Tribolium castaneum: one gene and its partner. The protein of the gene in region 2 purifies or fractionates together with the protein of the main gene of each other region. This does not show direct contact. Links are inferred from orthologs where the notes say so. Each region holds a gene or a part of one and is shown on either strand. Other genes may lie near its edges.

What was found.
Region 1: the proteins of vacuolar protein sorting-associated protein 41 homolog (region 2) and car purify together in Homo sapiens (affinity purification with mass spectrometry; 5 studies listed by BioGRID and IntAct, counting the BioPlex papers as one, with this or other methods). This does not show direct contact. The link is inferred for Tribolium castaneum from reciprocal best matches to the Homo sapiens genes VPS41 and VPS33A.

Annotation. Positions count from the first base shown.
Region 1 is NC_087401.1:11,290,944-11,295,434, forward strand, and holds the start of car (vacuolar protein sorting-associated protein 33A), read right to left. Parts: upstream 2,899-4,491; 5' UTR 2,694-2,898; coding exon 2,206-2,693; intron 2,159-2,205; coding exon 1,342-2,158; intron 115-1,341; coding exon 1-114. Other genes in the region: zinc finger protein Gfi-1b, read left to right, coding at 4,360-4,491.
Region 2 is NC_087401.1:16,023,895-16,027,719, reverse strand, and holds part of vacuolar protein sorting-associated protein 41 homolog, read right to left. Parts: intron 1,273-3,825; coding exon 1,100-1,272; 3' UTR 1,093-1,099; intron 1,092-1,092; exon of another isoform or gene 1,077-1,091; coding exon of another isoform or gene 846-1,076; intron 795-845; coding exon of another isoform or gene 522-794; intron 465-521; coding exon of another isoform or gene 224-464; intron 1-223. Other genes in the region: ciliogenesis-associated TTC17-interacting protein, read left to right, coding at 224-464, 522-794, 846-1,076. UniProt on the Homo sapiens protein: Plays a role in vesicle-mediated protein trafficking to lysosomal compartments including the endocytic membrane transport and autophagic pathways. Acts as a component of the HOPS endosomal tethering complex.

The DNA of each region.
Region 1 (4,491 bases), about 4.7 Mb from region 2:
TGTGAGTCTTAGGGCTTTGCGTAGGACTGTGTATTGTCGGGTTCCTGATTGGACCTTTAAAAGGCCCACTTTTTCCAGGTTTGTGATGGCGAGGAGCGCTTGTAAGCCATACACCTGGAAAGTTTCACATTTTTTTTTCTTTAATTTGTGTAGAGGCTTGTGGAATCCAAATTAGGTTGGCAACACTTTGTTAAAGAGTGACATAAGAAGTGTCAGTTTGACGTATCGCCAGCTATGATTGGATTATCTGATTATCTGCCAATAAAAAATCATCAAGACCAGAATAATCAAAAAGTATGGCTATTTCACGTAGAATTGTCAAAGGATTCCAAATCTGTCCTCACTTTTGTTATAAAATTCATAATTTAGGAGATATTATCAAAATATGGTGGATTTAATTTTTTTTTATTCTAGCAAAAATGAAAAAAAATCAAATATAAATTGACCTTGTTAGTTATCTAATTTTGAGCAAAATTTTGAGGCAATCGAGTCAAAAGTATGCAAATAATTTACATAAACAACTTGGGCAAATTTTTATCTACTTATCTGGTAATAAAAAATCATCGAGACCACAAAAATCAAAAGTTTAAGTTAAAAGTATGGCACTTTGACGGGAAATTATCTGAGGATTCCAAATCTGTCCTCACTTTTGTTACAAGATATTTAATTTTATTAATTTGTGTAAAGAGGCTTGTGGAATCCAAATTAGGTTGGCAACACTTTGTAAAAGAGTGACATAAGAAGTGTCAGTTTGACGGATGGCCAGCTATGACTGGATTATTTGCTTATCTGCTAATAAAAAATCATCAAGACCAGAATAATCAAAAGTTTAAGTCAAAAGAATGGCTATTTCACGTAGAATTGTTTGAGGATTCCAAATCTGTCCTCACTTTTGTTATAAGATTCGTAATTTTGGAGATATCAAAATATGGTCGATTTAATTTTTTTTATTCTAGCAAAAATGAAAAAAAAAATTATAAATTGACCTTGTTAGTTAGTTATCTATTTTCGAGCAAAATTTTGCGGCAATCGAGTCAAAATTATGCAAATAATTCAAATAAACAACTTGGGCAAATTTTTATCTACTTATCTGCATTTAAAAAATCATGAAGTGCACAATAATCAAAAAATTAGGTCAAAAATATACATATCTGATGTAAAATTGTCTTAGCATTTCAAATCTGAGCTCATTTTTGTTACAAAATCCGTAGTTTTGATGATATTGGCTGAAATTTTTGTATAACACCGGTTAAAATTAAAAAAAAATTAATCGAAGTGGTTTGTGATTTTGAAATTAAGTTGGCAACCCTCAATAAACCATGACCTACTTGTAAAACCCACCTGAACCAGCTCCCTCTTGTAATGCTCCAGCACTTTGGGCTTGAGCCCCGAGCTGGTAATACACTGCAAACAAATCAGTCTCAAAACCTTGACCAGAGGCTTGGCATGTGCGATCAAATCCTCGATATACGGACTAGCTTTATCCACTTCAATGCAATTCAAAAACTCCTGTTCCGTTTGTAGCGTGTCCAAAAATTCGTAACCATCAGTCACTTCTTTAATGCACTCCGCAATGGCCGTGTGATGCGCCAAAGCCTTCTTCTTGGCCAAAATCTGCGGCAGCTTCTGCACATATAACTTCATCTCTTGCACGGACCGCTCCTGACTATTATCCAACTGCACACTGATCGCCTTCGCCTGCTTCGACAAAAACGCCCCCACGGCGTTAAAATTCTTATCGCGGATGTCGGCAAATAACTTGTCGGCTGAATTCAAGATGATTTGTTTCTTGTCTTCGGAGAGCGACTCAGAGGTGCGCTCTTCGCTGCTCAAGAAATTGTCAATGGGGAACTGGGCAGTCGAGTTATTTATGCCGAAAATCTCGTCAATGAGCCCCTCGTAGGTCAGTTGCGTGGCCAAGGGGGTTATCAGGTCCACCCCGCGGTCAATCAGCAGGATCTGGTCGATGGTGGACGTCTGATTCGTCTTCAAGGGGGCGTTCTTCTCGCGCTGGAGCCGCGTCACCAGCTCCCACACCTGGCGCGCGGCCGGGCCTTTGCCCCACACGCGCGGAATGGGGCCGTACAATTTTTGCAAAAAAATGATCGCCTGTGCCGTTTGGTACAAATAAGTCGGGTCGTTTTCAAGCGTGTACTCGCTGCGGAAAGACAGTGAGCCCCCATATTCACCCACGTGTGGACTTACCGGAAAACTTCAGAAATTTCCATCGAGACAACATCGGAGTCAAACGGGAATAACTCACAGCGGAACTCTTCAACTAAACTCACACTGCCGTACACTCCGTTATGCTTGAGGCGCTCCAGACACAGGAGGCTCTTTTTCGGGACGAAAAACACGTGGTATTGCTTTTTGGAGCCGGTTTTGGTCTTGCAGTCGGCGTGGACGTTGTAGCCCACAAAGTCCATTAGGTGCAGTTTGGGGCGCGTTATGAAGATAACGTGGGCTACGTCTGTTTCTGGGAGTGGTGTGGGGCGCAGGGGGAACATTTTAGTGACCGAATGTTCCTTCAAGACTGCGTATTGGGCGATGAGTCCCACGGGGCCCGCAAGCGAGTTGTCCCAAACGATGGCTTTGGGGCCTGGGCATTTCTCCAGGAGGGTGATGAGGTTGTTACGGGCCGCCGTTTGGATGAGGGATATGTCAACGCGGCCCCCTTGTAAATGAGATGACATTTTCGAGGTTAGCTGTCACTGTGACAGTTGTTTGAGGTTAGCTGTCACTGTGACATGTGGTGACAATGGGGTGATTTACAATTTTGGGGCGATGACAAAATTGGGGATTTGGGTGATTGTGGGCCTTTGGGGTTGTTTTATTTTGCAATGTTCGAAGGAGTGGTGCGAGATGGCGCTAAGGTTTATGATTCATGAACGTTTGCCGTCCTCGTGGCTTTAAATGAATTGGTAGGGGGTAAGTTTGTCAGCTTTGCGCAGTGGCAGTATCGTAACCGATGAGGTAAATCCGAGGTGCGATTATTGCTAGTTGAAAACTTTAACCAATACCCCGCCATGTGCACGTGAAATACCGTGCGCTACGGCAATTTTTGGAAGCCTCTACGGGGGCTTATTTATAAATCAAAGACATAATCAGCCAAACTGGCACAAATAAACCATGATAATTACTTTTGCTCCACCGTGTATGTTAAGTATCGGTTAATAGAAGCGTCATTAAGTTAATCTGCAATTAAATGCGTGATTAAGGATAACTGATCACCTGACCAAATTGAACAAATTTGGTTGGTCCATTCGTTTTGTTAACTTTTAACAACGAATTAAATTTTAACAAAGCTTTCTACATATAAACCGGCCCTAAGTATATAACTGGTTTATAAAAGCGTCATTAATTTAATTAATCTAATTAATCTGATTTTATTTAAATTACATTATACATAATAGTAAAAAACCTAAATTCTTTCTTTCGTTCTTTCTTTTTTCTTCTTTCCTCTTTCTTCTTACTTGTTTCTTCTTTCTTTCTTTATTTCTTTCTTTCTTTCATTCTTACCTTCTTGATTGTGCGGTGCCTATTGTAACAATTTGTTTTCTATTTGTCATATATGAATGAAGAAAAAATGAAATTTTGTCGAAACCGTAAAAAGATAATTTTGCACATAAAAGTGAGTGATCCGAGGCGCCGAAGGCTTTAGAAAAATTCAACAGTGGCACAATTGTTGCTTCACTTTTATCCAAAGCTCCAAAGCAATCATTAAGAATTTTTCCTATACTGTAACAGTATTTATTTATTTTTTGATAACCTGATTGTTTATTAGTAACTTTTTCTTAAATGTTTGTAACTTTTTCTTAAATGTTTGATAAAACTGGTTATATGCTAATGGGTCTCAAGTCAGAACATGCATTGGGATTTTTTATTTTTGGGTAGAAAACGTACTAAAGCGTTTTCCACATTTAAGAATTAAATTTCCACCTTATGAGTAATAAATTTCTTCAGTATGTGACGTCAAATGACTTGTGGACACTTATCTTGGAAATCGAGAAATTCTCCCCCTTAAATGTTAAATGCATCTCTGGTAATTAAATAATATCGACACTTTTTTCTAAAGGTCAGAATTTAAAAATGTGCGGTTCTTGTAATCTGAATAGGATGTTATACAACCAACAATACACCTTGACCACAATTAATTAGAATTAAGGTTTTAAACCGACTTCTTTCTCAAAGTTTGATTGTAGAATATCAGATAACTTTCACAATACAATTATTTCAACACAACTTGCTTTTTTTTGCGGCATTTCGTCGCAAGAATTTAAACTTGGTGCGTCCAAATGTCACATTGACAGTCAGCTGTTTATCCAAAACAAACCCACGTTGGGCCCTTATTTTTCGCAAATGACCCCAAATCTACCCCCTTCCAAGCGTTGTTTCATCCCTTGGTGCCCCCAAAGCAGCGAAGTGTCGAACAATGTCGACTTTTTCCACCTTCCGACTGATACAATCCGCCGTAGTGCCTGGCTTGAAGCC
Region 2 (3,825 bases):
ATTTTGAATGTTAAAAACTTAGTCTTTTCGGGCTAGAAAACACAAACTTTTAGGTCAAAAAACAACGTTATATCATCTCACTTTTTCAAAAAAAATTATTTCACAAAATTTGTGTTATTTTTGTTTTTTTTTTTCGCCAAAATTCACTAAAACCGGTCCTGAAAACCGCTAAAAGCACTCAAATAACACAGTCAAGTAACAAAAACTGAACATAATTTTTCAGGTACGTCCAAATGGACGACGGACTCGACCAACAAGCTTTATACGTCAGCTCGCAAGAAAATTTCTATTACTTACGTCACGACAAACGAAAAGACATATTCTACAGTCCACACAAAGCGCACAATTTAATTTGCGAAGGCGCAAATTTTGTCTTGATGCGCTATTTGGCCCTAACAAAATTTGTCGGTTTTTTCGAAGTCTCGACCTTGTACATCAATGGTAATTTATGCCGTAATATTTACGTACGTAACACTTTGCAAAAAAAATACGATAATAATTAATAAGTGAAAAAAATCCAGGAATGTAAAGGTCCATCTAGTGGCATGATCAACAACAAAAAAGTGGACGTGTGCAAAATTTATCGCACGATAATTGAAGAATGTGGCATTAAACACAAAAGCATCACTTTAATGACTTTAACTGGGAAAATACTCAAACAAGAGTGGTATTTTTGCAATTATATCCTTCAGTTGAATCCTCTGACGGATCTTAGCGCCTTTAACAAGATACCTTTGGAGAAAAAACCGCTACAGGATGATATCCAGTTACTTTCACTTTATTTGGACGCGAAAGTAAGTAAAGTTAGGGTGAAAAAAAAAGACACAAACACAAAAATGTTTCAGATGATGAGTAAAAAACAAATCGCTAATTATTTAGACGACCAGCCAGAAGTGCGTGAAATGATCTCAGATTACGTCCAAACAATCCTCCAATTAAAACCAGAGGACGTTTTCCAATTCACAGCCAAGTATTTCCTGGCTTTTACGCCGGCCCTTTTGCCACAGAGTGAATATTTCGAAGGACCGTTCAATGTGGACGATGATGAAGATTACGATTTTTGGAAATATATTTAGTTATTTGTTGGCTTACCGTTGTTTTATTTATCGGATGGATAGCAGATGCCGCATCGAGTGGTGTTTTCAGGGAGGCATTGTTCGTGGAAGGCGTGCTTGCAATTGAAAACTGTTATGTTGGTACACCTGGATGGGTCCTTTTCGAGCACCATGTGGTGACAAGCGCCACACATTAGTTCTTCCGACACGCCAATACCTTGAAAGATGTTTTTAAAGGCAATTGTTGGCGAAATTTCCGTAAAAATAAAGGAAAAATCGCCAAATCTAGAGGATTTTTTTTTAATTTTTCCCCTTTTAAAGCTTTTAACCACATTTTTTTCCATGAAGAACGAAAGAATTTATTTTCTGAATCATAAAATTAATTAAAAAACACCTTTTTCAAGCGTGTGGTGGAAAGAAATTCAATTATTTTGCAAAATTTTTTAAAATGTAAGCCAATAATTCACAAAATTAGGTCAAAAATGACGTTATTTTTGAAAGTTCTGAGTATTTAAACATAATTTTAGACCAAAATTACAAAAAATTAAATTTTCCGAGCGTTTGTTTCGCGGAAAATCCACTATTTGGCTATAATTTCTTAAAATATAAGCCAATAAATCAAAAAATTTGACAAAAATTATATTATTTTTGCAATTTTTGAATATTTAAGCACGTTTTTAAGCCAAAAAAATTAAGTTTTTTACATGTTTTTGTTAAACTAGAACAAAAAATCCACAAATTTGGTCGAAAATAACTATAAATTTCAATATTTGATTCGTAGAAAGTCCATTTTTTGCAAAATTTCTTACAAAGTAAGCAAATAAATCGGAAAATTGGGGCAAAAATGTCATTATTTTTGCAAGTTCTGGGTGTTTTAGCAAGTTTTAAAGCCAAAAATTAAGTATTTTTTGCATGTTTTTGTTAAACTAGAACGAAAAAATCACCAAATTTGGTCAAAAATAACCAAAAATGTACCTTTTCCAATCTTTTGTTCAGCAAAAACTCAATCATTTCGTAAAATTTCTCACAAAATAACCCAATAATTCACAAAATTTGGTCAAAAATGACGTTATTTTTGAAAGTTCTGAGTATTTAAACATAATTTTAGACCAAAATTACAAAAAATTTAATTTTCCGAGCGTTTGTTTCGCGGAAAATCCACCATTTGGCTATAATTTCTTAAAATATAAGCCAATAAATCAAAAAATTTGACAAAAATTATATTATTTTTGCAATTTTTGAATATTTTAGCACGTTTTTAAGCCAAAAAAATTAAGTTTTTTACATGTTTTTGTTAAACTAGAACAAAAAATCCACAAATATGGTCGAAAATAACTATAAATTTCAATATTTGATTCGTAGAAAGTCCATTTTTCGCAAAATTTCTTACAAAGTAAGCAAATAAATCGGAAAATTGGGGCAAAAATGTCATTATTTTTGCAAGTTCTGGGTGTTTTAGCAAGTTTTAAAGCCAAAAATTAAGTATTTTTTGCATGTTTTTGTTAAACTAGAACGAAAAAATCACCAAATTTGGTCAAAAATAACCAAAAATGTACCTTTTCCAATCTTTTGTTCAGCAAAAACTCAATCATTTCGTAAAATTTCTCACAAAATAACCCAATAATTCAGAAAATTAGGTCAAAAATGACGTTATTTTTTAAAGTTCTGAGTATTTAAACATAATTTTAGACCAAAATTACAAAAAATTAAATTTTCCGAGCGTTTGTTTCGCGGAAAATCCACTATTTGGCTATAATTTCTTAAAATATAAGCCAATAAATCAAAAAATTTGACAAAAATTATATTATTTTTGCAATTTTTGAATATTTAAGCACGTTTTTAAGCCAAAAAAATTAAGTTTTTTACATGTTTTTGTTAAACTAGAACAAAAAATCCACAAATTTGGTCGAAAATAACTATAAATTTCAATATTTGATTCGTAGAAAGTCCATTTTTTGCAAAATTTCTTACAAAGTAAGCAAATAAATCGGAAAATTGGGGCAAAAATGTCATTATTTTTGCAAGTTCTGGGTGTTTTAGCAAGTTTTAAAGCCAAAAATTAAGTATTTTTTGCATGTTTTTGTTAAACTAGAACGAAAAAATCACCAAATTTGGTCAAAAATAACCAAAAATGTACCTTTTCCAATCTTTTGTTCAGCAAAAACTCAATCATTTCGTAAAATTTCTCACAAAATAACCCAATAATTCACAAAATTTGGTCAAAAATGACGTTATTTTTGAAAGTTCTGAGTATTTAAACATAATTTTAGACCAAAATTACAAAAAATTTAATTTTCCGAGCGTTTGTTTCGCGGAAAATCCACCATTTGGCTATAATTTCTTAAAATATAAGCCAATAAATCAAAAAATTTGACAAAAATTATATTATTTTTGCAATTTTTGAATATTTTAGCACGTTTTTAAGCCAAAAAAATTAAGTTTTTTACATGTTTTTGTTAAACTAGAACAAAAAATCCACAAATATGGTCGAAAATAACTATAAATTTCAATATTTGATTCGTAGAAAGTCCATTTTTCGCAAAATTTCTTACAAAGTAAGCAAATAAATCGGAAAATTGGGGCAAAAATGTCATTATTTTTGCAAGTTCTGGGTGTTTTAGCAAGTTTTAAAGCCAAAAATTAAGTATTTTTTGCATGTTTTTGTTAAACTAGAACGAAAAAATCACCAAATTTGGTCAAAAATAACCAAAAATGTACCTTTTCCAATCTTTTGTTCAGCAAAAACTCAATCATTTCGTAAAATTTCTCA